Linked DNA regions of Alligator mississippiensis. The protein of the gene in region 4 interacts with the protein of the main gene of each other region in a biochemical or structural test. Links are inferred from orthologs where the notes say so. Each region holds a gene or a part of one and is shown on either strand. Other genes may lie near its edges. The genes, in order: RBPJ, FBXW7, USP10 and NOTCH1.

Region 1 (7,761 bases), on a different chromosome or scaffold from region 4:
TAGAATGCCCCAATATCACTAGACAGATTTAAAAATGTAGGCTAGATTTAGAACTTTTCCATTGTTACAGCATGGCTGTAATGGGCCTTAACTCACTTGGCACAGGAGGTTGAAAACATTGACTTACATAACAAATAAATCCATATAATTATTGTCTAAACCTTGTATTTAAAATTCGTCATTACTCAAATCTGGCATTGTCCACTACCAACGATCAGAATTTAGACCTCAATCCAAGGAGGTGCTGAAGTTAAGTCAGTAAAAAGTGAGTATTTTGTGCTTTATTGAGGTTGGGCCCTTTAGCAAAAGAAGTCATACATATAAACAGTGATAATTACAAAAAATTGTCTGAGCTTTTGCCATAATTTTTCCCCTAGAAAGTACCAATTTTAGACCAACTCTGATTTTGACAGTATTCCTGACTTAGTTCAAGAGCCTGACCTTCAGTATGACTGACCTTTTGTACTGCTACATAAGGTTTATGATTTTAAAAATGTTTCAGTAGTGTCTTTTTGTTAAGTACACCTGAATCAGTGATAGAAAGCACTGTTATGTAGTCTTAAACTACTGTGCTATTTATTAATTATTGAAAACAAAGTGCCTTCTCTGAGATCCAATTAATTTTTTTATTAATCAAAATGTCTTATTTGTAAAATATTAAAAGAAGTCTAGACACTAAATATTATTGTGCACTATATTTTTACATTTTCCAGTTTAATTTAAAACACACAAAAGAGGGGCCCCATAAAATGACCATCTAGAGACAGTTGATGGCAAGAATCCAGAAACGATTCTTAATGGGACGGAACTAGCATGAGATGAGATCATTCTTCAATTTGGAGGGGAAAAAAAGATGTTTTCAAGAAGAAATTTTTCAAAAGGATTACAAATTGTTGTTTCACAAACAATACAGAGGATCTGCGGTATACACTGTGTTTCAGATGAAGAGTGTGCCGATAAAGGAACCAATCAAAATCCTTTTATGATTAATGAGGAGAGGGAACTCATGATAGGAAAAGAGTCTCCTGAATTATAACTGAGTTGTTTGCTGTAGTTCCAAAGCATGAGTTCACTACAGTTTGTCTGGCAAGATTTTCTTCCTTGCATTAAGTTAGCATTAGCAGTGGAGAGTAAGTATAAAAACAGAGCAAAAACTGAGTCATGGACATGATGGAAAATTCAATCTTTTATAAGTATGGGAGCCAGCAGATTTAGTAAAAATTAAGTAACTCTCAAAATCTCCTTCTCAAATTGGGATTTTAATTAATGTTAGATTTGAGTTTGAACCTAGATTGATGAAGAAGACAAGCTGAATGGGAGCTACTACTGAGCTTTAAGCACCGTAATCTTAGTCTTTTTAAACACAGGTATCTAATAGACAACCGCCCTTTAACTCGAAAGGTCAACTTTGTATTTTGTTATGCGAATTACTTTTTCAGGTCTAAGATACCTGTTCTGAACCCCAAAGGAAAGTTGTCTCTCTTTCTCTTAATGTCAAAATGATAGTCTATATCCAAATATTTTAAGATCTTGGATACTGATACCTCTTCTCATGCATTCTCATCCAACCTCTAACCTTTCCAGATTGTCCAAAAAGTAACTCTTAAGATCATTTAATTGAGTGAAGCAAGGTCTTACATTCAACTTGTTGGCATTTATCTATCTTGTTACACAATGACTTCTGAACACTCCATCTCATTAAGTCCACAATTTGAGAAAATGTTCTAGTTCAAAGACATTGATTTCTATGTACATCAAAAAAACCAAAAAATCTTTAAAATCTTGAATGTGGGATGTATGCGACAGTAAGCTGGGGTGGGCAAAGTATGGCCCACAGGAGGGTGCCCAGATTGGATCCAGCCTGCGGCCGCTTCCACAGTACTCCACATGGGGCTGAGCCCTGCCAGGGGGCAGCCACCACTGGACTCCCACCTGTTCTTGCTGCGCCTGGCCAGAACTTGCAGCTTTCCGGCAGGTGGTGCTTGGCTCCCGCCAGCTCCAGTAGCTTTTCATCTTCCTGCCCCTGTTGCGCTGCTCCAGGTGAGTGGGAAGCTGCACCCAGGTGGCTCCTGCCCTAGCTGTAGCTCCAGGCTGCCTTCCACCCACTCTGCCTGCCTACCTACCTCTACCTGCATGATGAGCAGTCACCTGCAGGCAGCTGAGTGAGTGGAAGACATCTGGGAAGAGCTGGAGCCACCTGGTTGCAGTTTCCCTCCTGTCCAGAGTGGCGCTGCATGAGCAGGAAGAGGAGCAGCTGCTGGAGGTGTGGCGGTAGCTAAACACCACTCACCAGCAAGCTGTGCATGCTGGCTGGTACCCGGGCTGCAGTTAGCAGGTATGGGCTGCCCTGGGTGGGAGCGGGCGGGGGCTCGGACCTATGCAGTGTTGTGGGGGCAGCTGCAGGCCATACTGTCTGGGAAAGCTTTGCTTCATGCTGCCCTGTCCCATCCCTCTTTTCCCAGGCCAGCTCCTGGAATCTAGCACTCAGGCAGCCTCCCCTCTCCCCCACAATATGCCCACCCCACACCCTCCACTCACACCCCCTCCATCCCTGCCAATATACTAGAGTAAGACTTTATTTTGAGTTATGCAATCACCTCTATATACACTACTCAAAAAAACCAAGTCAGGACAAAAATTGTTGTTTTTTTTTAAAATAAAAATAGAATGTTACAGTAATGTTTGATTTTTTTTTTTTAGTGTATGATTTTATCTACAATTTGTTAAAATGATACCTTCTACAAATTTTGTGTGTGCGGCCCTCAACAGCTCACCAAAACTCATTTAAGTGGCCCTCCAGTTGAAATAATTGCCCACCCTGCACTAAGCACTAACATCCTTAACAGAGCCTGCAGCTTCAAACACATCTATAGATCATAGGTAAAAGATTTGGTTGAAAAGCAGTCGTAACAGGATGGATTGTTTCAAATCATGGTTTTTATCATGATTTGAATCAAAAACATGATAATTTCAGTCCTCTTTGCATTTGTACTCCTTAATTTCCTGAGGAAAGGTTAATTCTTGTTGATTTTTGTCCTGATATAGCTTTTACACTAAATTATGTCTGTATTTTTGCTAACCAAAAGGATCTATTATCTTTACACATAAGCAATTATATAGTTTAGTAGCTACTAATATTCATTTGGTTCATTATTTTAGGTTAGGAAACAATAAAGAGTGTAGGAGTTTAGGTTGTAGCCGTGTTGGTCGAAGGACATAGGCAGACAAGGTTCCTTGGGTGAATTTGATATCTTTTATTATACCAACCCAAATAGTTGGAGAATAGTTATTAAGCTGCTGAAACTTCCTTAGCCTGACGAAGTGTTTTTGAACCCGAAAGCTTGCTTAATAACTATTCTCCAACTATTTGGGTTGGTCTAATAAAAGATACCAAATTCACCCAAGGAATAAAGAGTGTAGGTCTTTTTAAATCCTGAATGTTTACAACTTGCAATTTGGATGGAATTGGGAATAAAATGCAGAGGAATAGCATTTTACTACTGTTTTTATTGGTTAAATAAATACACTTGAAGTGTGACAGACACAGAAGAAAAAAAGTTGCATATATTCACAGACATTAGGGCTGGAAGGGACCTTGGAAGATCATTGAGTCCAGCCCCCTCATTGAGTCCAGACATTTTAAACTAAATTTTAAGTTGACTTATGAAACAAACTAAGCATTCTATGTAGCTAGTGAACTGAATTATGTTGGGTCGACACGTGCGTCAAGATTTTGGAAGTAGATTTTAACCTCTTGTGTTTCCTAAGTATTGACTGATAGATCGGAAAAAGAAAATAAGCCTCTCGGCAACGACGAGCTGAAATGTTTCTCAACTATGAACAAAACTGAACAAAAGGAAGAGGATTCTTCTTTCTCCACCTACAACAGAGGGCCCAGATGTCTAAAGCTGCTTTTCCACTTTGCTTGAAAACTGGGTCCTGAGGCTTTGCTTGCGACTTCATCCCCGCTCAGTGGCTTGACAGACTTTAAAACTCGGTCGCAAAAACACAGCTTGAACGGTGGGTTTTTGAATCACGTTAAACGACAGGAAGGGGCAGCATCCAGAGGAGGCCTTCACAGAGGCTGTCCTAAGACCAGTTTTACTTTTAAATCACTTTTTGGGGGGTTTCTTTTTTAGCCCAGCGGTCTTCCATTTTATCACGGCCTCATTTTCCACCTGCCCCTCCTTCCCCCACGGCCACAGCCGGAAACCCGCTCATCTCGGTCCCGGGGGCCACGTGCCCGTAGCAGTTGCTGTCCATTCGAGGGCAAACCCCTTGGCCTGCAGGTGCTGGCAGCTGAGTTCTCCCTGCTGGTTGCCCTCGCCCTCTGCGCTGCGGGCGGGTACGCCTGCCCCAAGCCTGGCGGGTGGGGCGCCGGGTGAGACCCGGCCCCACGCGCCCACCACAGGAAACTACGGCCCGGCCCCACCCCACGCCGCCCACTTTGTGCTCCGAGGCGCGTCCCCCCGGCGAATGGGCGCGTCCCCCGTGCTCTGCGCAGACCCCTCCCGCCCGGGATGGTTTCTCCCGCCCCCAAGGCGCAGGAAGTTTCCGAGCCTAGACTCCGCCGCCGACAGGGAATCCCCCTCGCGCTCCTCTCGCGAGACGCACCATCTCCTCTTCCCTTCGGCGCCGGCATTCTCGCGAGACTCGGGCAGGTTCCCACGCCTGCTGCTGTTGTGTCTGACTGACACTGGGAGAGCCCGGCGCGCGGGGGGTGGTGCGCGCTCCGCGTGTGCGCTCTATGGGCCCACGCACGCGCGCTCTCCGGCAGGGCCGCCGCGCTCTCGCGAGACTAGGAGTTTTGGCGAGAGTTTGTGGAAGATGGCGCCTGTTGTGACAGGGTAAGTGCGGAGGCTTCGCCGCACCGCGCCGCCCGAGGCCCCCGCCCGTGCCCGCCGGGGCTCCACCGCCTGCCCCGCCCTCGCTCCCCGTTCCGCCCCGCTCCTCCCGGGCGGCTGGGCCCCTTCGGCCGCTTCCCCGGCGGGACGCCCCGGGCCGCGGCCCCGGGGGCCGAGAACCCCCCGGGCGGACGCCCCGGCCGAGGCGCCCCCTGCCCGAGGCCGCGCCCGCTCGCCCGGGAGCGCTCGGCCTGCGCCCGCCCCGTGCTGCTGGGGCAGCTCCGTGCCGGGACAGTGCCTGGCTCCATGCTGCCCTGAGGGCGCTTCTCTCTGGCTGCCGGCAGAGTCCCCCCCAAAGGCTCCCGGGCAATGTCCCGGGAGAAGTTGAGTCCCCCACGCACCGCAGCGTGGCTACGCGAGCGGCGTGGGGCTCGGCAGGGAGGGCACTGCTCCCTGGCGCGGGAAGCGAGATGTTCCTCTTCCCCTGCACCCCCGGGGCCCGGCTGCGGCTGCTGTCAGGGCCGCGCTGCAGCTCCCGCCCGCGCAGCACCCCTCGGCTCTCCCGCACGGTGTCCTTCCAGATGCCCCCTGCGGGCCAGGGAGAATGAGAGAGCGCGAGCCCCAACGTGCCGTGTCACCTGCTGTGTTACTGCTGAGTGTGGGCATCTTCTTGGTATCCCAAATTATCCTGAACCCTGCTTGCAGCCTGTTCCTAATCTTTAGTCTCGCTGGGTAGTTCCCCCCCCCCCCCCGGCCTGGTCCCTAAGGGGATTGGGGCTGCTAGGGCAGCAGTAGGCCTTGCCTCCTCCCCACCTGCTTGATTGAAACAAAATCCTGGTGGCTGAAAATAATTCTAGGCGTGGGGGGGAGGAGGGGGGTGTTTTTTGCACGTTTGGCTAAATATCCTGCCTTCACATCGCATCTGTGATTTTTTCTCCCCGTGGGATTACGTAGTCTCTAGGCTTGGCTCTGTGGTTATAGCACAGAGCCAAGCCTATTTGGGGGTGGGGTGGAGTTGGTGGTGGTTGCTTTTGTTCTTATGGAGGTGGCGGCATTATGGTATTTTCTTGTTTTGTTTTGGCCTTAGCACTTGTTAGTTTCTTGTTTCATGGTTGTCAAAAGCAAGCGTTAAACTGTTGCCTGATTTTATTCGAGTTCAAAAGGCACTTGCTGCTGTTGCTTATTTTGGCTGCTTAAACCTTCTTTAAAACAGCAAGTCTTGTGTGTTGCAATCTGTGGAGTACACTATTTAGAGTTCTAGAGTTGGGGGAGTAAGACATAATGGTGTTTCTAAAAGTTTGCCTTACATGGGTTGCATGTTAATTTTATTCCAGTTTCTGGTCACTTAATTGCCTCTGTGCTTGAGTTTTATTCGTTTTGCTTATTGATTGGGACAGAAATGTTCTCCGTGACATCCCATCTGTTTTTTCCAGGAGATGCATTTTAATTTTTGACTAATTAATGAACTTACGAATGAGAGAAACACACTAACAACAAAGGAATAGAAAATATGTTGTGTTTTAATGTAAGGGTGGAAGTTTCTCTGTGTTTCAATTCTAACAATACAACTATTGTTTAGCATTTTCAAATTGGTTAAATCCTGTAAAAAGAGAGGGAGGAGTCATAATTCTAACCTCAGATCTTGAATTAGTTAATCACCTAAAACATAGAGAACCTTGAAAAGATGTGCTAAAATGTATTAACGGGTATGGTTTTTATTTTATTCAGTGGTTTTGGGGGTTTTTTTGTGTTTTTAGTGTACTTAGGTTTTGGATTAGCAATGTGATACCCTGTTTTCTTTTAGTAACTGGCATTTTTCACAGTAGTAAAACCTCTCTTCATTCTAGTGTAGTTAATTTTCACTCACGATCTTAGAAAACAGGGTAGAAAACAGTTTAGAATTAAAAATAAAATAAATCTGTTAATGTAGTAACCAAGGGTTGCATGCTGTTTTTGTTGCTTGCATGCACTTTCTAGCAATCATGAAATTTCTAGATGAAGCGTATAAGTGATGCTTTGTAATTGCTGGGAGGTGAATGTTGGAATATTATCTTTTCATGAAAACTAGTTGTTAAAACTAAATTGCAGTACATAAGCCTGATAAACCTATTGTCTTGTTCCAGTAATCTGAAAGGACTAGTAACAGTAATACCTGGCTATAGAAGTTGTATTTCTGGCACTGTGACCTTCACCCAGTTTGCTGATGGAATATTCTTTTATCATAGGCTTACCTGTGTTGAAAAATGCATAGGTATACAGCTTTTATATAAGGCCCATGAGAGATTTAGATTTATTATGTATGATCCCAGCAGTCTTTCCTGCCCAAGTGCAGGGGGACTGGACCCAGTGATCTATAAGGTTCCTTCCAGCCCCTAACAACTCTGGAATTATGAACCCTTAAATCACCTTGTTATGGATCAGGACTCCATTGTACTCAGAACTGTGCAAACAGAACTATGTGAAGGTCCCTGCCCCAAAGAGCATGTTGTCTAAATATACGACAAGAAACCAAAAATTAATGTAGTCATATGGGGGGGGAGGGGGATATGGGGAGCTGGTGAGATGGCATTGGACAGAATGATAGGCAGCCTGTTGCTTATAGACAGTAAGGAAAAGGAGGGTTTTGGGGGAGCCTGATCAGGTTTGTAAATTTTGTGTGTAGCTGTTGGCGGCAGCATGGGAGAAATACAAAGGTACCTTTTTAAAATTTTAACAAGTGGGTAAAGAAGACTGGTATAATCAGCTGACTGGAGGTGAGGTTCTGTGTTTTAACAGTGAATGAAGGATAGTAAGGTGAAGATAGATTGTGAAGGGCCTCAAAATGCCCAGTGTTTGTTATGCAGTAGAAATAAGGAAGGTAGCTGGTATGTGATACAAATAGAGATGACAAAGTAGTGGCACAGGGAAATTACTTTTG
Region 2 (7,912 bases), on a different chromosome or scaffold from region 4:
GGTTTTGATATCAGGTATGCTAATGGTGTATATGCAAAATCAGTTCAGAGTTGCATGGTCTTAAGAGCAAGAGTCAACAAGCTCAAGTATCAGACTAATTACAGTCCAGATACTTCAGACAAGTCATGTGTTATTTCAAGTTTCTTTTATAAAGCCAGACTGGCAACAGTGCCCCTCTGTGTAAAGAGGATGGTAGGCCCAAAAGGAGTCCTCCTGTACCCTACATTTTCTGACATTCTATTTAGAAGAATGAACATGTAAACACTATCCCCCCCCAAAAAAAACAGTGAGTGTCTGCCATGGGTAATGTAAAATTTGACTACCCAAGAAGAAATGCAAGTTATTTTCAGTTTGGGGAGGAAGGAAATAGTTTGTAATAGCTACCATGAATGGAGCTCAATTTTTTTTTATAAGATGTTTAAGTATTTTTCTCTCAGTTTGGGTTTCTACCCAACAACAATGTAATAATGAATAAGATGAGACTCACTGGTCACACTGAGAACAAAGAGGGTAATGCAAATATAAAAAAATAGCGTTATTCCATTTTAAACAGCAAATATGAATTGCTTTCACAAGGTGATCTATACTGAACACCTACAATACTGTAAAAATGGCTCTAACAGGTAGGAACATAACTTTTTTAGTATACAAAGAACAGTGGCTATTGCAAAATGGAAGGGGAACAGCAACAGGAAGGGAAAAATACATTTAATTTGGAGTCAAGATGTGACAAAAAGCTACTGTGTTAAGAGAACGGTGAAATATTATGGTCAGATTGAAATATCCCACACTGCTTTTTCTAAACATATATAAATTAAATGTGGCAAGATGCCACCTATCCCTATGGATGCCAGGAATGGCAGGGAATTGGAGTGGTAAAGTGAGTTCAAGTTCCTCAGTGCTCACAGAAGCAAGGAATGTTATGAAGGCAACACTCAATGCACTGCATATGGGATGCACAGGAGTGTTGTACGCATACTCCTGTTCAAGAAAGCGCTGCCTGTCTCAAGCTGATTGACTTGAAAGGATTTTTAAAGTTTCAGGTACCTTTTCTACTTCTTCCTGCCTAACCACTTTGGAGGTTATACAATCTATTTCAAAGTCTGGTTCTACAAGCTTGGCGTGCAATTAACACGTGTAATCTGGTTGTCTCTGCATACGTTATTGCCCTTTAAATCATAAGAGTCTGAAAACAAACAGAACCACCCAAGGAGAAAAAAGAAATCAATGGGATTTAGATTCCAACTCCTTCCCAGTGAAAAAATGGCTATAAACAAACTTGGGAAACTGACTCTACCTGCTGCCAAATGTATGCAGCAAACATACGGGCAGGAGACAGGGAACAAGGTCTTTCAATTAAAATATTCCTAGCTGATACCAGAATTTAGATAGAAGTGTGTCAACTGTTGACCTTCTATGCCATTCATTGAAAATATCAAGCAAGGGGAAATTACCTAGCTAGAGTTTGCTATCATACTTTTCTAGATTTCTGTATGGAAAAAATACTCATAATGAAAATTATACAAACTCCCGCACTACATCAGAGCCAATACTTCTGAAGTGCCTACCATGTAAATCAAAGCGCTAGAACCACACTTAATTTGGCCACAACCTTACAACACACCCAGCGCGCACAAACCAAACGCTCAAATGTAAAACGCAACCTGCAAAGATTTTAAATTATTCAGAGCCTGTGTGGTGGGATAACGCCTGACTGCTGTAACTCGCCAACAGCTGCTGGCCAAGGATGCTACAGCAATTGTCCTCAACTTTTTTAAAAACTTGAGGCACCTCTCAGTAAGACTAGAAGCCCCTCTCAGAAAATGCCAGCTCTTAGCTTTCCCTTGGTTTTCTGGCAACAGAAAAAGACTAAAGCTGAGAACCCAGAAAGCCTGAACGGGCAAAGCATTTGTAATGCTCCGAATGCCTGTTTGAAATCTCTGAAGCCATCACGTGCATCATGAGTGCACGCCTCGCCATGCTAGCACCATGTGGCACCTTGGTAAAGATCTCCAGGCGCCCCAAGGTGCTGCAGCACCTGATTGAGAAATGTTACTGTCAGACTGAACTAACCCACGCTGCTTTTTCTGAAGATGCATAAATTAAGCATGGCAAGATGCCACCTATCCCCATGGGTGCTCGGATCAGCAGGGAAGGGGGCGATGATTTGAGTTCAAGTTCCTTGGTCCTCCCAGAAACAAGGAAAGTTACGAAGGCAACACTCAACTCCCCGCATCAGGGCGGCACAGAAGCATTGCCCACACGCTCCTAGGCAGAAAGCACCGAGGGCCAGGCTTTCCCATTGCCCATACGCTCCTAGGCAGGAAAGCACTGCCCGTCTGGAGCCGGTTTGACCTCAAAGGATTTCAGAAGCCCCCCAGCCCAGGCCACCTCCGCACCCCCAGCTCAGGCAACCCATGGAAGAGCCACCGCTGGCTCCGGCAGGGGACAGGGGTCTTTCCCTGAGAGGGGCCGAGCCAAGAGGGGGCTGGCACTCCCCCGCCCCGCGGGCCACGAGGGGGCCGGCCCCGCGGCTGGCTGCGAAGGGGCAGCTCTTTGTTGCCTCGACAAAGACCCGGGACAGCCGGCCCCGACGGCGGGGCGGGGCGCTGCCCCCAACGGCCCCGCCGCACCCACGTGCTCCCCCGCGCCCGGCGTTTACTCACGTCAGGGGCCGCGCGGCTGCTTCCTTCGCCGTGGCGGGGCCGCGGGAGCCTCCCCCCGCCGGGCCGGGGCCGGGGGCGCGGGGTGCCCCGGCGGGGAGGGGGGGGCCTTCACATGGAGCCGCCGCCGGGCCGGACCGGGCAGGAGGAGGCGGCGGCGGGGCCGGGCCGCGGCCCCCGCTCATGCACGCTGAGGCGGGCGGAGGCGCGGGGCGCTGCTAGGGGCCCCGCGGGGCCCCGGGGGCGGCCGGGCGAGGCACCGCCGCCGCGCCGCGCTCTGGCATGGGTGAGCCGCGGCGCGGGGCAAGCCCCGGGGGGAGGCTCCGGCGGGGGTGGGGACGGCAGGGAGAGCTGGTTGCTGGGGGGGAGGGGGAAGGGAGCCGCGGCGCACGGAGATGACAGCTGGTCACTATGGCAACAGGCCACACCCCCGGCCGGGGGCGCGGGTCGATGACGTCAGGGAGGGGGGAAGCGCCGCCGGCGGGGTTGGTTCAGGCCGGGACAAAGGGGCGGTGACGAAGGAAGCGGAGCCCCGCCCTCGCCGAGTAGAAGCAGTGGGCGGGGCTTGGGCTTTGAATGCTGCTACGGCACTGGGTTGCCGCTGTGATTGACTGAGGGGCAAGTCGTCTCGTGACGCGGAGCAGGGCTGCTCCCTAGAGGCAGGCATAATGGCTTAGCGCCCTGTCCCGCCCCCCGGGGGTCTTTACAGGGGTCGGGGCGGCGGGGGTCTCCGGGTCGCGGTGCGCGCCGCAGAGCGGGGGAAGGGGAAAGGAGGGGGCAGCAGGACGGGCTTTGCGAGGGGCAAGCGGGACCGCTGCTCGTGGGCAGGAGAATGCTGTAAGAGGTTGCCTTCTACTCCCGCCCTTGGCTCCCCCTTCACCTGCTCTTGGAAACGCAAGCCAAATCTGCTCCCTAGTTTATAATGGGGAGCGGCCAACCTGCAGCATACTGCCAGCCGCCGGAGGCATGGGCAGCCTGTGCGTGCAGCAGACCCCGGAGGGGACAGGGAACCCAGCGACAGATTAGCAGGGAGCAGAGCACTATATGGAGGAGAAAGCAGAGCAGCAGAAAGCAGGGCAGCAGGTGAGGCAGGGAGCAGAAAGCAGAGCACCCCCATAGGCAAGGGAAAGGCGCGGGGGTTAGAGTGGTACTCAAGGAGTGGTGGGGCCAGTTTGCACACCTGCCAAAAAGGAAGTGTGGCCCCCAGTGCTTGATGCAGTGGAACAGGCTGGTAGTTGCCACTCTTGGTAATGCCCTGGTCTGGCGTGTCACTAAATGGGAGATGCCAGGCAACTGTCTTTCACAATTGCCACTGGAAGCCTGTGGTGCTGGTGTTATGTTTTTTGTCAATGGAAGCATCCAGCTCGCTACTAATCAGCAACAGAAAAGAAAAAGGGGAAAGAAGATTATTTCATCCGTGCCCTCTACAGAACCATACAGCAGTTCCTTTTAACCCAGAATTTCAGCTCTGCTCATAAAGCACATTGATATCAACCTCCCTTTCCTCTGCAATTGTGGTGAAAACATTTGGTTTCCTACCACAAGTTTTTACCATCAACAGTCAACATCAGATCACAGAGGAAACAAGTACTGCTGGTCTCCCACCCTAGCTTGGGTTGCTTCAGAGACTGAAAAAGCACCCTTGTCATCTTCTCATGCCAGCAGGATAGCTATTGGCAACTAGGCCTTGGCTGACTTAGGCTGCAATGTTTCTGGAAAGTCATTTTGGGTTATATGCTGTGTCTGTCTCTAGTTTTTAGGGTCCTAAAGAAAAGTTCTTTTGAGAGCTCCAGGTGCTCTTTGTAGACAGAAGATGGAAAGCAGGACCAGTGCCTGAATCCTCTTGCTTTTATGTCCAACATAATTGTGTTTACTGTGTATCTACATAAGTATGCTTCTTTTAAATTTAAATCTCGTATTCTCTCGTGCTTCTACATCAGTCTAAATGCTATGCAATTGCTCTTATTTTGAAATCACTAGTGAAATTAACAAGAACTTTAACCACATGTAAGGGGAAAAAAAAGTACCAATGATTATAGAGGTTAAATGTTAGCCAATGCATTTTCAAACCTGTCATCTCCTTGCTTTTTCATCTGAATTTTTCTAAAACAGGGATGCAAGTATCAGCATTATGAACTAGGAGTCCTAACCACTGGCCTGCGTACCAAATATGGCCTACAGAGCCATCTCATCTGGCCCATGGGACTCCCCATAGGTCCAGAAATTTGGCAGCAAGAGAGAGATGGCCACCCTGCCCCCTGCCAAATTCCCCAAACCCAAGCCTCTCATGTCTGGTCAGAGCCCAGGTGTACCCCTGGTATTCCATACTCCCTCCCCCCACTTCTAGGTTGAGCTGGGCCACACACACCCCTGGGGCCAGGTTGGGGCAAGGCATGGTTACTTCCACCCGGGCTGGGTTTGGGCCTAGTCAGGGCCCCTCCCTTAGTGCTAGGCTAAGGCTGGGCCACACTTCCTCCCCCAGTGGGGCCAAATCAAGCTTCTTTCTCCTGCAGGGGTGAGTTGGAGCCAACCTGCCCCTTCCATCTCCTCCATGTAGCTGAATGGTGCCTGCCATGCCTGCCTTGGGCACTGGATCAGGACTACTGGCCAGACCTGGCCCACAGTCAAACTAGGTGCTGCCCATCCAGGCTGCAGGGAGAAAAGGTTGAGCACCACAGAAGTTTCTTCTGTTTTCTTAGACTTCTCCTTTTGTGGGATGACAATGCACTGCAGTGCCATGCAGAAACACCTGAGCTTTCTTGTCCAGTTAATACAACCCAGTCTCTACTGGAATACCTAATCTATACATTTTAGGCTTGCATTTGCTTTGTTCATAGCTGTAACTACAAGCTGTTAGTGGCTTGTAGTTATCCTGTGATTAACTTGCACATACAGGAATTCAGATGGCTTCCATTTATCAAGAAGGGTCCTCGTTCTATGAATATCTTCCAATGATCAAATATGGCCAAACCTTCGTACAGCACCAGTCCCTCTCTCATGCGCTCTAGCTTCTCAAGTGGCACATCTCTACTTTTCAGGCTATTCATCTTTGTCTTGGTCTCCGTGTTCAATTAGCCCTAGTTCCCACTCTCTTCAGGTGCCAGCTTCCCTTCCCATTCCCACTCCCGTGATGAGTCTCAGCAAGAATCTGGCGGTGTCATTTTCCCTGACAGGTGTACAAATGTCTTACTGCCATCAGGATAATTTTCAGTCTTGGGTCCACGTCCCATATCCTTGCCTGTGGTGGACTGCACTGGTGACTTACCTGTCAATTTTTCTTCATATGTATTTGTTCTATATTAAGCATTTCAGTTTTCTCCTACTTGAACAGAGTACATCTCTAGGAGTGTCCCCAGGGTACAACTTACGTAAAAATTTAGATAACAGTCCCATGCAAAACAGCACCAGTTCATGGCTTGGATAAAGGGAGAGGGTTGGTCAGTGGACCAAGACTTAGGCCTTTAAAACACCGCTTGCTTTGACATACAGAGACAGGGATGTACTGCTTTGTTTTTTTATAAGCTATTCCAATGGCAGCCAAGAGCTTCACAAACATTAATACATTTATCTTCTCAAAACTTGTGTGAGATACCGGAGTTGTTATTATCCTCATTTTACAGATGAGGAGCTGAGGCAGAGAGATGGGTAAAAACGCTCACTAATTTTGGGTGCCTAATCTAAAATGCTGGTTGTTCAGAGAACTTGGCATTATATATCACTTTATATACTCCAAAACAGTGACCTATTGAGTTCAAATGTAGAAGCCAGTGCTCAGCACTGCAAGTCAGGCCCATCCAGCTCAGAAAATGAGGGATGCATAATTACTAACCATCTATAATAAGTTTGGTTTGAGTTACTTCTTCAAAAAGAAAGTACTTTACAAAGGATCTCTGTAGTAGAAGCATGGCTAAAATATTCTCTGGGGTAGTTTTCTTTCTTAACTACAAGAAGCTATTTTTTCTTCCTCCAATCCCAACTCTCTCTCCTTGTCAGATCTGTTTCTTCTCCACTATTACACTCCCCCTAGTCCTAGTCTTTTAGCCAAGCCAGACCCTTGGCACTTCATCTGATCACAGTTTCACTTCAGGCTTTTGTTCTCCCTTAATTTTCCTCACCAGTTTCTCCCTTGCCTACTAGACTCCTCTATGTTCTAAAGGATAGCATCAGACAATCTTAATAATAGGCAGGGTCACTAAGCTTGGATAAAAATAGATCTAAAAGCCATTAAATTCAAATGTAGAAGGTAAAAAGGTAAAAAGTATAGAAATGCAGCACTAAGATACTCCACACAGTCTTAAATCCATCCTCATATCTCTACTATCCCATGCAGCCTCCATAAAAAAGTAGATGTCTTTAGCTGAAGTGTTTCTTCCCCAGGCAGTGAAATGTTAAGCCCAGGAAAACTTGGCTATTCTTCCAGGAACTTTACCATCCAAGGGCATTTAAAACCCTGCATATTTTGTCTGCAGCTGTGAAGACCATAAACCACAATGGTCACAGTGGTTTATAATTACAATGTTTTAGGGATTAAATTATCCAAAATCCAGAGGGATCCTGCATACAGTATTAAAATATCCAGGGCCTGATCTGAGGGAAACACTAGGAAGATACAAGAGCAGTTGGTTAGGTCTCCAGGATGTGCAGTAAGGTATTGGCTATGCCTTGTCTTAATAATAGTATCCAGCTTTCACAAGTGGTTCTCAAAGTACTTGACAAAGGAGGTCAGTATCCTGATCACCATTTTACAGATGGGAAAACTGAGACACAGAGATAAACTGGCTTCCACACAGAGCTTCTCCAGCATCAGAGGCAGCACAGCCTGGCTTAATTGCCTAGCTGGCCAAACCTGCCAGAGGCTGTATCTGAGAGCCCTCCTACAACTGAGTAACCAGTTGGTCACTGTTAAGGCTTCCTGACTGGCAGCTAGGCAGCTTCCACCCGTGGCACCAGGACTTCGTTAGCCAATAGTTTTGTTCAGAGGTCTGCTGTGGTGAGCTTCTCTGGATTGTTGCTTGGCCTCTTGTTGGCTGGGATCCTGAGTGACTGTGGCAAGGGTGCCAAAGGAGAAAACAGCAGCATCAGCATCCTGGTCATCTGAATGTGCCTCCTTTCAGGCAGGGGGACCAGATCCAGTGGCTTTGCACATGGAAATGAGTGTGACATTTACAGATGGAAGATGAGATATAGCAGTGGATAACTCTGGGCTGGATAATAAATGGCAGACTGTGAATTGAGAGTGTAAAAAGATT
Region 3 (6,860 bases), on a different chromosome or scaffold from region 4:
AGTCTTCGTACTGGATGTTGATGAGCTTAACAGACACAGGGCAATGGATTTTTGCATTAACTATTTCAAACAGATGATAGAATTGGCAAAACCTGAGATCAAAGAGACTTCACAACAAGTGAAAGTCTGTTGTTATGGTTGCCTGAACTATAAGATAGTTTTTATGAAATACTCTTGAAAAATAAGATGTCACACTGTTCCCCTGGTGTTACACAAAGATAAAAATATTAAAAATGACAAGCTCTGTATGATAACCCCTGGTGAAACTGAGAATTTGTTCATTTTCATATGATACCTTAACCAACATTCAGTTCTTTCAGAAGGTACTATAATAGGCTTTGAAGCTTAGTAGTAATTTGTCATCCCTTCGTAACAATATGAAAACAGTTCAGCAGTGTCTTGTTTTTTTTTAAGAGGGTAACACAAAAGAATCTCACAGTTTAGGTAACATTTTAAGTTGCTAAAAAATAGGATCTCTTTATTTCTCTGTGCCCTTAAAAGAGGTTTGGAAATTGTTCATATTTTCTCTTACTAATCTAAAAGCTTTGAAAAGATTTTTAACTCTATAGTGAATCAGAGGTTGCAGTTGAGCTGAATTATTCATCTGGGGCTATAACCATAAATTTAATTGAGTAATACTGTGAAACATATGTTGTGTACTTCATGCAATAGTACTGATATGTATTGCTCACCTAGTCAGACTCACATGGTGCTGAAGACATATCCATAAATGGCCATCCTGTATGGATACATTATATAATTATAATAACTAAAAAGTATACTGAGGTTTGTTTTCTTGTGCTTTACAACTGATTATCCTACGCATGATGCATAACATATCCTATGTTAATGAATGGTTGGACTTAATATCCAATAATTTACCAACAATATCTGTATTTACAAACATTACTTTACCTCTAGCCCCCTTTTTTCCGAAGGCAAGTATTCTCTTACAAAGTTTTAAAGACTAGAGTTTGGTTCCCTAATCTCAGCCAGAGGTACTCTTTTATGGCTTGCATCACTGTTTTAACCACACACCTTTTCCCCATCAGCTACTGCTTGGAATAATTATTAATTAACTAAAAAACTGGTGGGTGGTGTGATACTGCAGCATTCTCATCTATAAGTTCAGCCATTTATAATTACACCCTTCCCTGTCAACTGCTTGCTTTTACTTGAGCAAATTTTCTAGCCTGACATGGGTCTTGCCCTCAACAAAGGTAAACTTTCCAAGAGTTTGTACCTACCCACTAGTTTCCTTGTAAAATAAACACCTAGACTGTTTTTCAGCCTAGCCTTAAAACTATTAAAGCTGTTTGTTTTTCCTCAATAACATGCAATGTTTTCTACTTCTAGTTTCTTCCCGGCCCGGATTAAAACAGCAACACTTGTCAGAAACAGAGGAGAGGGAGTGGCAGGGCTGGGGTGTGGCAGAGAAAAGGTACAAAAGCAAATACAGAAAAAAATAATCTGCTGAGAAATTTAAGTCCTTATTCCATCAAGTTGCTCATGCTTTGGTATATGCACACTTAGTGCAGCTTCACCTGAATTGCACAGTGGGTAAGGCCTCTTATCAAAACAAGGTGGCTAAAAGCTTTCCATCTCTGGTGCTTTTATGGAGGAAAATGTTACTCCTAGAATAATCAAATATTAGCTTCAACCCTAATCGTAAGCTCAGCAGAGATGGGTATTTCAGTTCTTCTAATGCTTCATTTCATAGTTTCACTTGAAATTGTTGGTAACAGCCAGGGACAATATTTTTATTCGGGCAAAAAAGTGAAGATTAAATTAAAAAAAAAAAAATCAGTCGGGAGATTTTTGCAGGGAAAGGAAAAGCCCAGTATGTCACTACATATGCCTGTATTTTCCTTTCTATTTGTCTTCATGCATCATTTTTTCCCAAAGTTCAATTAGGATTTAATTGTTTCAGTGGTGAAGGCAAACATCAAAACTTTGGTTGCACTCCAGCGTATCCTGGGACGTCGTGGCGTGCACTCTACATTTCTGGAGGCAGCCCGTGACCGCACGTGTGTATGTTCTTAATCGGGGTTTTTATTAATACATTGCAGATATACTACCCGTTATCCTGCCTGCTCACCAACTGCATATGGCAGCTCGTCTACTTTGCCGTGATGCAGTGAATGGGAATGCTCACTTAGTTTGTCAAATGGAGCAGACAACTCCTTCACGCATGGGATATAGCATTGTGAGGGTGGGGGGGACCAGACTAGCATTGAGGTGCTATTTTCTGGGGCGCATAGAACAATTTAGGACCTTTACACATGCTATTAGCAGCTTTGCAAGAGGAAGAATCACCCTGAGCTTGCACAGAACCAGGATAAATGAGAACTACAGAGTATTTTTGGAGTGACATAGCCTCAATGGTCTAGGAAATGTGTGAGAGGCAAGAATATTTTTTTGGGGGGTGCTATCCTTTATTTAATTCAAGCTCTGCTGCTATTTGAGACCTGAGAGAGGGGTGTGTGCATATGTGGGCAGAGGTTGTGTTGCAAGCCTAATTGTCTCTGCCAGGGCCAGGCCCTGGTTTCTTGGTGCTCTGAAAGCTTTCCTAAAATCTCTCTCACCCAAGTAGTGAGTTCAGTTGATCACCTCCAAATCTAACTATGGAGGTAGGACAGATTTCTCTCTCTGAGCCTGCTGTGCCTCTAGGCCTGTCCTTTAAGGCTGCCTATGCGCAGATACTTTTACTGGTATCCAGGTTGTAGTCATGTCAGTTCAGAGGCAAAAAGGAATCGGGACTTGTGGTAGAGGTGATGGCAATCAGGACCCATGGTAGAGATGATATCTTTTACTAGACCAACAATATTTTTGCAAAAACATTTCTTTAATTGCAAGCTTTCGGGCACAAATACCCTTCATCAGGCACTGGAGAAGATTGTACAAATTCTCTTGGGTAGAAACGAAAGTTCATATTTCATAAGATTTCAGAGGTGTCAATAGATGGAAAAATCCATTTTGGTTTAATAAAAGATATCATCTCTACTACAAGTCCTGATTGCCTTTTCCTCTAGACTAATATGGCTACAACCTAGATAGCTGGTAGAGGTGATATCTTTTATTAGACGACCTAGATTTTTGCAAGGGGCAGGAAGGCAGCTGGGGTCAAATGATTTTTTTTTTTTGCAAAAATCTAGTTGGTTTAATAAAAAATATCACCTCTCCCATGAGTGGCGATACTTTTACAGATCATAAAAGGGTAAGAGCACCAGCCATGGTGCTTAGCAAAGCATGAGGACGGTGCTGCTTGGGTCAGCCTCAAGCTCAGAGGCATGGGCAGACGCAGCTCTCTCTCTCTTTTATGAGACCAACAAAATAGTTGGGGGAAAAAATTGTTCTTTGCAAGGTTTTGGGCACAAACACCCAGGCATAGGGAGAGTCTGCTGGTGTTATGAGTTCTCCAAGGTAGAAAAGCAGCAGGGGATATTTTCGTGGCTCTGTGCATGCCTCAGGGGTGAGAAAGCAATCAGAGATAATATCTTTTATTAAAAACTATTCTCCAACTATTTGGGTTGGTCTAATAAAAGATATCAGATTCACCCAAGGAACCCTGTCTGCCTATCTTTTATTAGATTTTTTGCAAAAAAAAAAATAATAATAATAATAATAATTTTGAAGTGCAAGCTTTTGGGCGCAGACACCCTTCATCAGGCAGCAAAGGTCCTTCCCAGGCCCCCAGCCCTGCGCACGCTGCCTCCTTGCAGCCCAGCCCAGCCCCGCCCCTCTAGGGCTTGAGCTGCGCCTGCGCACTGCCCCCCTCCCTCTTCCCTCCCCGGCCATGCGCAGACGTCGCCCCGCGGGCCGGGCCGAGCCCCGCGCCTGCGCAGTGCGCCGCCCGCCCGCCCGGCTGGTGTGTGCGGGAGACAAGATGGCGGCGGCGGGGGCCGCGGCGTGAGGGGCCGAGCCGACGCTGAGCAGCCGGGGCCGCGGGGGCGCCATGGCGCTCAACAGCGCCCAGGTGAGGCCCAGCCCCGCGCGGGGGGCCCGCGGGCCGCTGGCGGAGCCGGGGGGCGGCGCGGGGCGCGGGCAGCATGCTGCCGGCTAGGCCCCGCGCCCTTCTGCGGCCTCATTCAATCGCCTCGCGGCGGCCGCGGCGCCTCCCCGCCCCCTCCCGGGGCCGCTCCCGCGCCCGCTCCTCCGCCGGCTGCGCTGCGCCGCGCCGCGCCGCGCCGCGCCGGGGAGCGGGGCCGGGGCCGGGGCCGGGAGGTTTGCAGACAGGACTGCGGGGCAGGGTGGGGCGGGTGGGGGCAGGGGGTGCAGCACTAGCGGGGGGCTGCTTCCTTTTCTAATTTATTTTCTTTTCCTTTCTAATTTATTTTCTCTTTCCTCATTTCTTTTCTTTTCTAATTTATTTTCTTTTCCTTTCTAATTTATTTTCTCTTCTCATTTCTTTTTCTTCTTTTCCTAATTCCTTTTTTTCTTTTCTTTTCCTTTATTTTCCTAATTTCTTTTTCCTCCTCTTTTCCTAATTCCTTTTTTTCTCTTCTTTTCCTTTCTCTTTTCTCATTTCTTCCTTTCACTCTGCCAGGCTCTGGTTTCTCCGGGCTATCCCTCTTCCTCCCCCTTAAGTGGGAGCAGCTCCCTCATTGGGGTAGCGCTGTTTGTCGGTCTGTATTTCTCTGGTTTCTGAGTATTAACACCCCTCCCCCCTTTTTAATTTTTTTTAACTTGGACCAACTCCCCTGTTGGGGTAACGCTAGCCAGGCTTTCCAATGCAAAGCTGTCTGCCTCGGGCACAGGAAGCTGTCTTTGTGCCCTGGATGAAATGCCCTCTGCCCTCCCCTTTCCTTTGCGTTCCTCCTTCTTTCTTTTTTGTGGACGTTAGGGGAAGGTTGAAAGGTGTCCCAGCAGCTCCGTTTGGGCCTCGTGCCTTTGCAAGAAGAAAAGGCAGGGGGCGGGGCGGGCAGGGGGCGGGGCGGGGCGAGGCGGGACACATGTTTGAATGGGCAAGGTGGAGGCTCGGGGTTTTAAAGACGGGCGTAAAGCAGCAGTGCCTGCCCGCGCTGATGGGCGCTGCTTTTTGTAGGCAGACGAGGTTGTTCGGGTAAATCGGATATCTTTTCTTAAACCAACTCAAATAGTTGGAAAAATTCTTAGCAAGTTTTTGGGCTCAGACACCCTTTGTCAGGCTGAGGGAGCATCTTTTTGTAAGCATATATCTTGAAGCGGGGGGGGGGGGGGGGGCACGCCAAAGTTTTCCTGAACTTGGATTGCGTTGTCCCTTGCACGGCGGCCTGCTACCTGTTGTTTCATGGGGTTGGGGGAAAAATGACATTTCATCCAAAAAAAAAAAAAGGTGTTAAGCTAAGATGGTCACGTACTGCGTTTTGTTCTGTTTTCTTTCTGAAAGTTATTGACTAAAATATACAGCTCTAAGAAAACTTCCTATTAATTATAGCATTTTTGAAGCACAGTTTATACTTGATGAAACTACTCTAGTTGCATTTTTGTCGGGCCTGATTTTGTAAGCTTTTTTTTTTTTTTTTTTTTTTTTGGACACTTAGTGCTTGGTTTCTTTGCCTTGTCATTGTACTTAAAGTTTCTACACCTTGTTCATTTGTACTTAATGTATTAGTACGTAGCATGGTGCTTATATAGTTTTATGCTCCATAACTTTGCAAGAGCTTGACCAATACATGGTAATTAGCAGGCAGACTACAACTTGCAGCGTTTGAAAACAGAAATCTCAAGGTTCAGCTTGCAAGCATTTTTGTTTTCTTCTCCATCCACCCTGCTCTCAGTCCCCAGAGTTGAGTATAACAGGCATTGTATACAGGTATTTTTATTCAGGTATCATGTGAAACTGAAAGGCGGGTTTTCATGATGTGCCCATGGCAGATCTTGGTCCCTGTCCTGATGTTTCTTTTTGAGAAATAGTGCTGATCAATTAGTAGGGCTGATCAATTAGTAGAACTGCACAATGCTTAAAAATAAACTAGTTTAAGTGTAACATGCCTTCACCTTTGCTTTTTCCAGTACTTGCTTTTTTTGTAATGAAAATCATTAGGGCCCTGATCCAAAAGAATTGAGTTTAACTTTACATACCCTTGAGTATTCTTGTTGTCAGTGAGATTGCCCTTAAGGTAAAAATCAGTATATCAAACTCAGGATTTAAGCCCATTTGTGCATATCTTTAACAAATGAGTTGATAGAACAGTTTTGCCAATAATCTTGGTAAATTTATTTTTATCAGCAGATTTTGCTCATCTGTATTTTGTTCTATAGAAAGATATTGCTTTAAATGCTTAAAGTAGGGAGGTGAGTAAAACTTGGCAGGGAAATGACTTCTGAGGGCATCCTCAAGAGAGCAGTTTATGGAACGCTGAGGTGAAGAAGAAAAGTTTCTTATATGAATGAAGGTGAAGTTTTTGATGCAGCTGTGTTACTGATTTTTAACGTCATCAAAATGTATTAGGGTAAAGACTGAGGAAAAAAGTTTAATATGAACAAAATGTTCCAAGATTGGAACTCTAAATCGCATAGTATTTGTCTTCCCCCAAGATAGGTATTTTTGAGTTTAATTGCTAAAAATAGTTTGTCACAAAGGAAAGATCATAATTTGCAGCTCAAGAAGACTGTTGTGAGAAATCTGAAACACAGAGTCAGATTTTGCACAAACAGTGTTCTCATACCAAGAGATTTTTAGCAGGATGGGGGAGACTAAACACAGGTTTTCATTACACATGTAGTGCTTTTATTTGAAAGGAGAGTGTCTGACTCGTTGAAAAGCTCAGTTTAAAATTAGTTTTGATGATCCGTACAAAATGCATTTGAGAATATCCCATCACAGTTCAATTGCACTGGCTGCTTGTGCTTTTTAAAATTATTATTCTAAGAAGCTA
Region 4 (7,219 bases):
ATCATTTTCCTAGCTTGCAGTAACAAAAAAAATTCCCAGGGTTTCACTCATTTAATTTTAACTTATTAAAATGTTTAAAGGTATTATGTGGGGTTCTCCTTCCTTCTGAAAGAAAACTACTTGTATGGACACTTGCCAGTGTTTCTATTAAAGCAGTTTTACAAGCATCACGTTAAAGCGTACCTAAAATCCCATTCCTTTAGCCCAAGAGACCATTCCAAATAAACACTTTCTTTGGAGCTTTGTTATAGTCACCCACAACTTTTTCAATTTATTATAAAAGTATTTTCATGTAGTGTTTAAGAGCATGTCTTTTTTTTTTCTTAAAACAACAACATGGGTATTGGTTGCAGCCCTCAGGAGAAGTGGTTGAGTAAACGAGTAAATGAAAGGTTGCTCTGTACTGAAAAGCTGTGCTGGGGAGATGTGCCTTGCAGTCAAGGTCTCCACTGGGTTAAAATGACACACTTAGATAGCGGACGAGGAAGGTTAGTTCTCATCATAATGACTGGCGGGGTTGGAAAGGCTTCCACGGAGAACGCAGCGACTGCCGCAGGCACCCGATGGGACCCACTGGATTCTGGATCCAATTCTATTCCCTACCGAGCCCGTTCCAGTGGGGACGGGATCAGGCCCCTTGCATTTGATGCACCCGAAGCTGTGTTTAGCGTCTGCCTGCATTCGGAAAGCTCTCTGCCACGGCTGGGACCCTGGGTGGAAATATTCCCGGATCTATTTCCTACTCGGACTCTACACGTTCTTTTACCTGGCCAAGCCCGTCTCTCGAAGGGGCTTCCACAAGGTCAGGGGACGGGGAGTATGGGGGTGACCTGACCTGAACAGCTTCTGTTGTTGCCACCTTTGTCTTTCATAGAAGAAGGGGGACCGCGGCCCAATTCGCATCAACCCTGACCCACCGGGACCCCCTGCGGCAGCTTGTACCTAGACTGGTCTGTCTCTTAGCCTCACCCATCCTTGCACCGGCATCAGGGTGCCCATTCTTGGGAGGATCCTCGACCGCAGAGTAGATCCAGCACCAGTGGCTGCTGGTGGCTTAACCGGGGGATTGTGGCCCTAAAAGAAATCAAGGGGCATTGCCAGGGAGAGAGACGGCCTGTTTCAGCTAAGGACCTTGGTGTTCTTCACAAACGTGTTTTCTGCCTGTCACAGATGGAGATGATGAGCACAAGGGACCGGCCAGGAGAAATTAAAGATAAAGCCAGGGCCCTTGAGTTTTCTGAAGTAGTCCCATAACATCCTATGTAGTCTCTCGTGGCAGGTTTCTGGAAGAAATAACCCAAGCAGGCACACAGCTAAGCTGAACGTGCAGTGCTTTCTCTGCTCAGGGAACAAGCCCAGGCAAAGATAACATAGGTATTTCCAAGCGGGTAGAGCAGAGATGGTCCCTGCTAACTGAAAAAAAGCAAAGAAAAAAAACAAAACCAAGGAGATGGGGAAAACAGGCTGAAATGCCATCTCCCCGAGGGCTCCAGATGTGCCAGGGCAAAACAACACGCTTCAACCCTCAAAGCCAATTCAGACTTGATTTATAGTCCCTTGAAACGAGAACACTACAGAGCATCGCGGCCTGTGGGCTGCAAACCTGTGCAAGCTGCAGCCCGGGTCTGGGGATGTCAAGTAGGAGACGATCAAAGGAGATCCTTGCTGTATTTGTATTGAGCAAAGGTGCTAAGGTGCAGGGGTGTGCAGAGCGTGTGAGTAGCCCCAGGCCCCGTGACCTTCTTTACTCTGATACCTGTTTCGGTGACCAGAGCAAACCAGAGTATAAGGGGGGGAGAGAGTGGGGCTTTTGGACACCCGAGCAACTTCAGAAAAGAGCTGCAGTAACAATCCTACCTGCCCGTGGCTACGACTAGGCTGCTTCGTTGGGTTAGCACCCTCCACTCTCCATCCCTATGAAAGAGCCAAACGTTGCTACAATTTGTGTGCTTAAAACTAAGCCAAATCCAGGCTGGTACCGAGGCCTGCTCCTGGGCTGTTTATAACCCACTGTGCACACCTGTGTGGACATCCGTGAGTTTGGACTTGTGGACGCCTGTGAGTTTTGGATTGCAGTTCTTTTGATCTCATCCTTGCACTGCTTTTCAAAAGGGGGCTCCTTGCTTATCTGAACTGCATTTTTCAGGGTAGACGCAGAGGCTATTTCTTTTTTTTTCAAATGTGGGGGCCTAAAGTTATACATCTAGGCTTGAATTTTGAATTCAAGCCCTGATTCCAGAGGCCACCCGGATCCCTGAGAAAAGCTCAGCCTGAAATCCATGTTTGAGCCCCCGAGTAAGAGGCGGGTTTCCAGGCAAAGCCCCAGGACAAAAGAGGCAAGAGAAACAAAGGAAAAGCACAACAGAAAAACAATGCTGTAGGGTTTGTTCCTTTGATCTCGTTGAGCAGAGTCTGCTCCTCGGTTTGTTTAATTGTTTCACACGTGCTCTGGAAATCATTTACAACAGGAAATAGTGGGATGGCACCCACTCCCAGGTGCCTGCCGAGGAAAGACAAGCCAGGGGTGTCACATCGAGGGCCTCCTCCCGTTTTTCTTCCTTTGACCAAACACACGCTCGTCCTGGCAGTGTTACCAGGAAGGAAAACCTGGGGGGAAAAAACACTGAGTTGGCTACATGGGAGGAATAAAATAGCTACAGCTGTTTGCTGTACAACTCCGCTTTCCTAAGAAGCCTAAACCTGCCACGAGACACATGAGGACAGACCCCGCGGTGGGTCTCACACCTGGCTATCCGCAGAGCCACCAGCAAACCAAAGGAGAAAGCCAGGAAAGTCAGGAAGCCCCCGACTTTATTCTTGACTTTGCCCCCGATCTGCTAGGAGGATCACTGAGTCCTGGTCTACACTCAGCTTTTTCTGAACCTTGCCCAAATTTGCACTCACGAACATAGCTCTGGGTGGTGGATTATTAGAGAGCGCTAACGTAGACACGGCACCAATATGTTTTTACCGCTGTGCCACCTCGCTCTGCAGTGCACGGGCCTGGAAGACATGGTGGCATGCCAGCCAGGGGACCGGGTAGAGCAGTATTGCCCCATGTGCTGCCACGGGCACGCTGCAAACCTCTGTCTGTGCACAGCCTCTGGTCCCATTTTCACAAGCAAAAACTCAGCACCTCAACAGGTGGCCTGGTTTCAATTCAGTTGCGGTTGCTGTGATTATACAGGAATGGCCTGGCCCTGCTGGAGTAGCTCTGTAGGGAGGGGTGATGGAGGCAGTGGGACATGCTATTATTGTTGCCTCCCAGCCTTGGAGCTGGCAGGTCGGTGGATGTGAGATCCTTCAGGACCCGCTCCCAGGGACAATATTGTGTGGCAGCACGACCCTACAGACTCCTGGGGTAGGAGTGTGGGACAGGATCTCTCCTTCCTCCAGATCTGCCCTCTGTGCTCATTCGTTCACTTGCAGCTGTTGCATGCCACTGATTGCACGTTCAAGGTGGGGGGAACAAACACCCTGTAGCCCACCTAGGCTGTTTTAATAGGGCATACCTATTAAATACAGCATACCTGGGGAGGTCCTAGCCCCTGGGCTGGAGCATGAGCTCTGCCGCAGGGCCTGCATGACCCGCGGAGGGCACACCAAGGGGGCATTGGCACCTGTTGCACACCCGGCGCCCGCAAAGAGGCAATTGCTCTGCCCGCTCCCCTCTCTTTTTCACCCCATGGGTCATTCAGCCCCGCCAGATTCAAACAGGGACCGGACACATCCTGGGAGGAATCAGACCTGCCTAGACCTGAAGTGGGGGGAGAGAGGACACCCTGGTCCTGCCCAGTTCTTTGGGCGGATGGGGTCTCTTTTATTAGACCAACTCAATAGGTGCCCAAATTGGGCTTTGAGTGCCAGTTCAAGGTGAGGGGAACCAACACCCCAGGCTGTTTTAAAAGCAGATCCAGGGCGGGGGCTGGCGGGGGGTCTGCAGGTGTACGGTGCTGCCCCCTGTGAGGCGGGCAGGAGGTGCCGTGCCGCACACGCACACCTGCTCGGGAGGCGCGGGCTGCAGGCAGAGGCGGCTGGTGCACGGAGCTGTCCCGGCGAGGGCAGGGCAGGGCAGGGCAGGGCAGGGAAGGGGCGGGGGCGGCTCGCACCGCCCCTCGGAGCGGAGCGGAGCGGAGCGGAGCTGGGCGGGGGGGCCGGGCGGAGCCTGGTCCCGCGGCGCCGAGCACTGGTGACTGGGCGGCGGCGGCGGCGGCGGGCAGCGGCGCTCGCTCCGGCTCCGGCTCCGGCCCCGGCTCCATGCGGCTCTGAGCGCCGGCGGCGGCGGGATGCGGCGGCGGCTCGTGCTGCCCGCGCTGCTGCGGCGGCTGCTGCTGCTCTGCCTCCTGCCCGCGCCCGCGCCCGCGCCAGGTGAGCGCCACCGACAACTTGTGCCACTTGCCGGCGCGGGGCCGCGCTGCCGGGAGCGCGCGCGCGCGTGTGTGTGTGTGTGTGTGTGTGTGAGAGAGATCCCTGCGCGCAGTCGGCGGGGGGCAGGAAGCGTTGTGTAGTTTGTGCGCGTGCTGCTGTGCGTGTGTCTCGTGCGTGTTGTGTAGTCCTGGGGGGTTGTGTGAGTGTGTGTGTCCCGTGCGTGTTGTGTAGCCCCGGGGGATTGTGTGTGTGTGTACCATGCATGTTGTGTAGTCCTGGGGGGGTGAGTGTGTGTGTGTGTGTGTGTGTCGTGCGTGTTGTGTAGTCCCGGGGGATTGTGTGTGCGTGTGTACGTACCATGCATGTTGTGTAGTCCTGGGGGGGGTGAGTGTGTGTGTGTGTGTGTGTGTGTGTACCATGCGTGTTGTGGAGTCCCGGGGGATTGTGTGTGTTTGTGTGTGTGTGTGTGCTGCCTTGTGTGTGTCCTGTGCATGTAGTCAGGGGGTGGGGGGGTGAGATGCGTGTGTCCCGTGCATGTTGTGTAGTCCAGAAGGGTTGTGTGTATGTCTGTGTGTCCGTCCGGCGCATGCAGGCAGAGAGAGTTGGTGTGTGTGTGTGTACTGCCTTGCATGTGTCCCGTGCATGCCGTCGGGGGGGGTGTGCACGCTGCTGTGCATGTATCTTGTGTGTGTAATCGGGGGTGGGGTGTGTGTGTGTGTGTGTCCTGTGCATGTAGTCGGGGGGGACAGTGTCTGTGTGTACTGCTGCTGTGCGTGTCCCGTGCATGTAGTCAAGGGGAGGATGTGTGTCCAGAGTATGCAGGCAGGGGGAGTTGTGTGTGTGTGTGTGTGTGTGTGTGTGTGTGCGCGCGCCCAGTGCAGGCAGGCAGGGGGAGCGTGTGTATGTGTGCATGTGACCGTGTGTGAACGCACAGGGTGTGTGTGTGTATGTGAATAGGCAGACACTGTTCTTTAGGTAGATGTGATATAGTTTATTAGACCAACTAAATAGTTAGAAAATTGTTCTTTGTATGAGACCTGTTGCATGTGTGTCCAGAGCATTCAGGCGGGGGGGGGGAGAAAGCGTGCGTGTGTGTGTGTGTGTGTGTACGTACAGCTCCTCCCAGCCTCCCCTGGGTTTCCCCCGGTACCTGCCCGGGGCTGGCTCACACCCGGCCGGGCTGCAGGGCTGGGGGACAAGCTGCCGGGCCCCCTGGTGCCCCCCACCCCGGTGGGGCCGGCGGGAGCTGGGGTGCTCTCTGCCGCCGGGGCACAGCCCATCCGCTGCCCCTGCCCCTGCCTTTGCCCCTCCCCAGCCCCTGCACCCAGCCCCGCTTCATGCGGGCCCTTAGTCATAGCCGGAGCGCAGCAGCCTTCCGGGAAGGAGCCGGGCCCGGTCTGGTTTCACTGCACTTTGCATAGCTGAGCAAGACAGAGGCTGCTGTGTAGGCAAGCCCCAGGGGAGCGAGTGCTGTCTGAGTCCACCCGCTCTTCCAAGCAGCAGGTATTGAGTATCAAGTGCGAGACCCTGCCGGAGTCCTGCCCTCCACTCACTGCCGCAGCAAGAGGTGTCTTGAAGGCCTGACAATGGCCAGCTCTGATTTCCCCCTTTGTCCCAGGCTCTGCTCCGCAGCTGTTGCTTTTTCCCACGAGCCAGGAGGGGAGTGTGCGCCTGGTGCTTGACAACTCTCCATTCTCCCCCTGCAGCACAGCCAGCAGCCAGACGCTCCGCGAGCGTTTCGGGGGCGTTTTCCTGTAGGCAGGACAGTAGCGGCATGCAGGAGTCTGGAAGGGAGGGGGGAACGGGGCAAACAATCCCAGTAGATGGCTGGAAAGCCGGCGCCCAGCCTGCCCTGTACGCCGAAAAGAAAGTTGGCAGATAAAGTTGGCCGGGAGAGCGGCCCGCGACGCTCTTTGCCCTGCGGCTTTCCTTTAAAGCTGCCTCGCGGCTCCCTTCTCCCGCCACCCTGCAGCAGTGCCCTGGGGGTGAATCTGCGAAGGAAACACCCTGGACTGGAAACACCGTATGCGCAGCCCTGGTACCCCCCGCCCCCAGTCTTGCTGGTGCTCTGGACCCTCCAGCGGTTGTTGCTCTTGGTTTATCTACCCCCCACCCTCTCCCTGGGCATTTTTACTCTTTATTATTTCTATGGGTTTTACAGAAGTTTTTGACTGTACATCAGGAGCCATTATCATCAGTATGGCAGTGAGCTTTTTCCAGAGAGAGTTGAAAGCAGACATTTGGCTCTCAGGGCCATGTTAGCAGCCTGTGCAGGTCTAGTGAGTAGACTTCAATGGACTGCTCAAGTGAGCAATGATTTTTGGTTGGATCCCTTGCTTAGGTTTGCAGAATCATCCTTGTCACCCAAACTTTCTGGCCCTGACCTCTGTTCCCTTACCCAGGCAGGTTTTTCATGGGTGTTTCTCTGAGAGCTTTCCTGAGTGAAGAGCCTAGCATCTAGCTTCTAGTCCATCAAACTTTGCAAAAAAACAGCTTTTCTCTGAGTGGAGAAGAGACCGGGCCCTGTGAAAAGCCCGTTGTGCCTAGAAATCGGTCACAGCACAATCAGCCGTGCATTTTTGTGTGGTGCATCATTTGATGGCATCTTCTCCCGAGAGCCCCTTGCTCCCAGGAGTTTGGCAAAGCTGCGGGCTCTCTGCAGACCTGCTGTCGTAGGCTGCTCACACGCGGGCTTGTCTTGGCTCAGACCTACTCCGAGTGAAGTCACGGCATCCCCACGTGACACGGCAGATCCCATGTATTGATTCCACCACCTTGATCAGTGGAAGGCCTGCCTGGATGTCCCGTCTTTAGGTTCAGAGGCACGTGACTCCTGGCTAACTCTCACCTT

Evidence for each region.
Region 1: the proteins of NOTCH1 (region 4) and RBPJ form a complex in vitro, tested with the Homo sapiens proteins (5 studies listed by BioGRID and IntAct, with this or other methods). The link is inferred for Alligator mississippiensis from reciprocal best matches to the Homo sapiens genes NOTCH1 and RBPJ.
Region 2: the proteins of NOTCH1 (region 4) and FBXW7 form a complex in vitro, tested with the Homo sapiens proteins (2 studies listed by BioGRID and IntAct, with this or other methods). The link is inferred for Alligator mississippiensis from reciprocal best matches to the Homo sapiens genes NOTCH1 and FBXW7.
Region 3: the proteins of NOTCH1 (region 4) and USP10 form a complex in vitro, tested with the Homo sapiens proteins (2 studies listed by BioGRID, with this or other methods). The link is inferred for Alligator mississippiensis from reciprocal best matches to the Homo sapiens genes NOTCH1 and USP10.

The regions. Positions count from the first base shown.
Region 1 is NC_081825.1:39,903,478-39,911,238, forward strand, and holds the start of RBPJ (recombining binding protein suppressor of hairless), read left to right. Parts: upstream 1-4,749; 5' UTR 4,750-4,827; coding exon of another isoform or gene 4,828-4,847; intron 4,848-7,761. UniProt on the Homo sapiens protein: Transcriptional regulator that plays a central role in Notch signaling, a signaling pathway involved in cell-cell communication that regulates a broad spectrum of cell-fate determinations.
Region 2 is NC_081825.1:96,224,839-96,232,750, reverse strand, and holds the start of FBXW7 (F-box/WD repeat-containing protein 7), read right to left. Parts: upstream 3,009-7,912; 5' UTR 2,667-3,008; intron 1-2,666. UniProt on the Homo sapiens protein: Substrate recognition component of a SCF (SKP1-CUL1-F-box protein) E3 ubiquitin-protein ligase complex which mediates the ubiquitination and subsequent proteasomal degradation of target proteins.
Region 3 is NC_081833.1:72,403,157-72,410,016, forward strand, and holds the start of USP10 (ubiquitin carboxyl-terminal hydrolase 10), read left to right. Parts: upstream 1-3,857; 5' UTR 3,858-3,955; coding exon 3,956-3,976; intron 3,977-6,860. UniProt on the Homo sapiens protein: Hydrolase that can remove conjugated ubiquitin from target proteins such as p53/TP53, RPS2/us5, RPS3/us3, RPS10/eS10, BECN1, SNX3 and CFTR.
Region 4 is NC_081835.1:63,112,300-63,119,518, forward strand, and holds the start of NOTCH1 (neurogenic locus notch homolog protein 1), read left to right. Parts: upstream 1-4,202; 5' UTR 4,203-4,286; coding exon 4,287-4,368; intron 4,369-7,219. UniProt on the Homo sapiens protein: Functions as a receptor for membrane-bound ligands Jagged-1 (JAG1), Jagged-2 (JAG2) and Delta-1 (DLL1) to regulate cell-fate determination.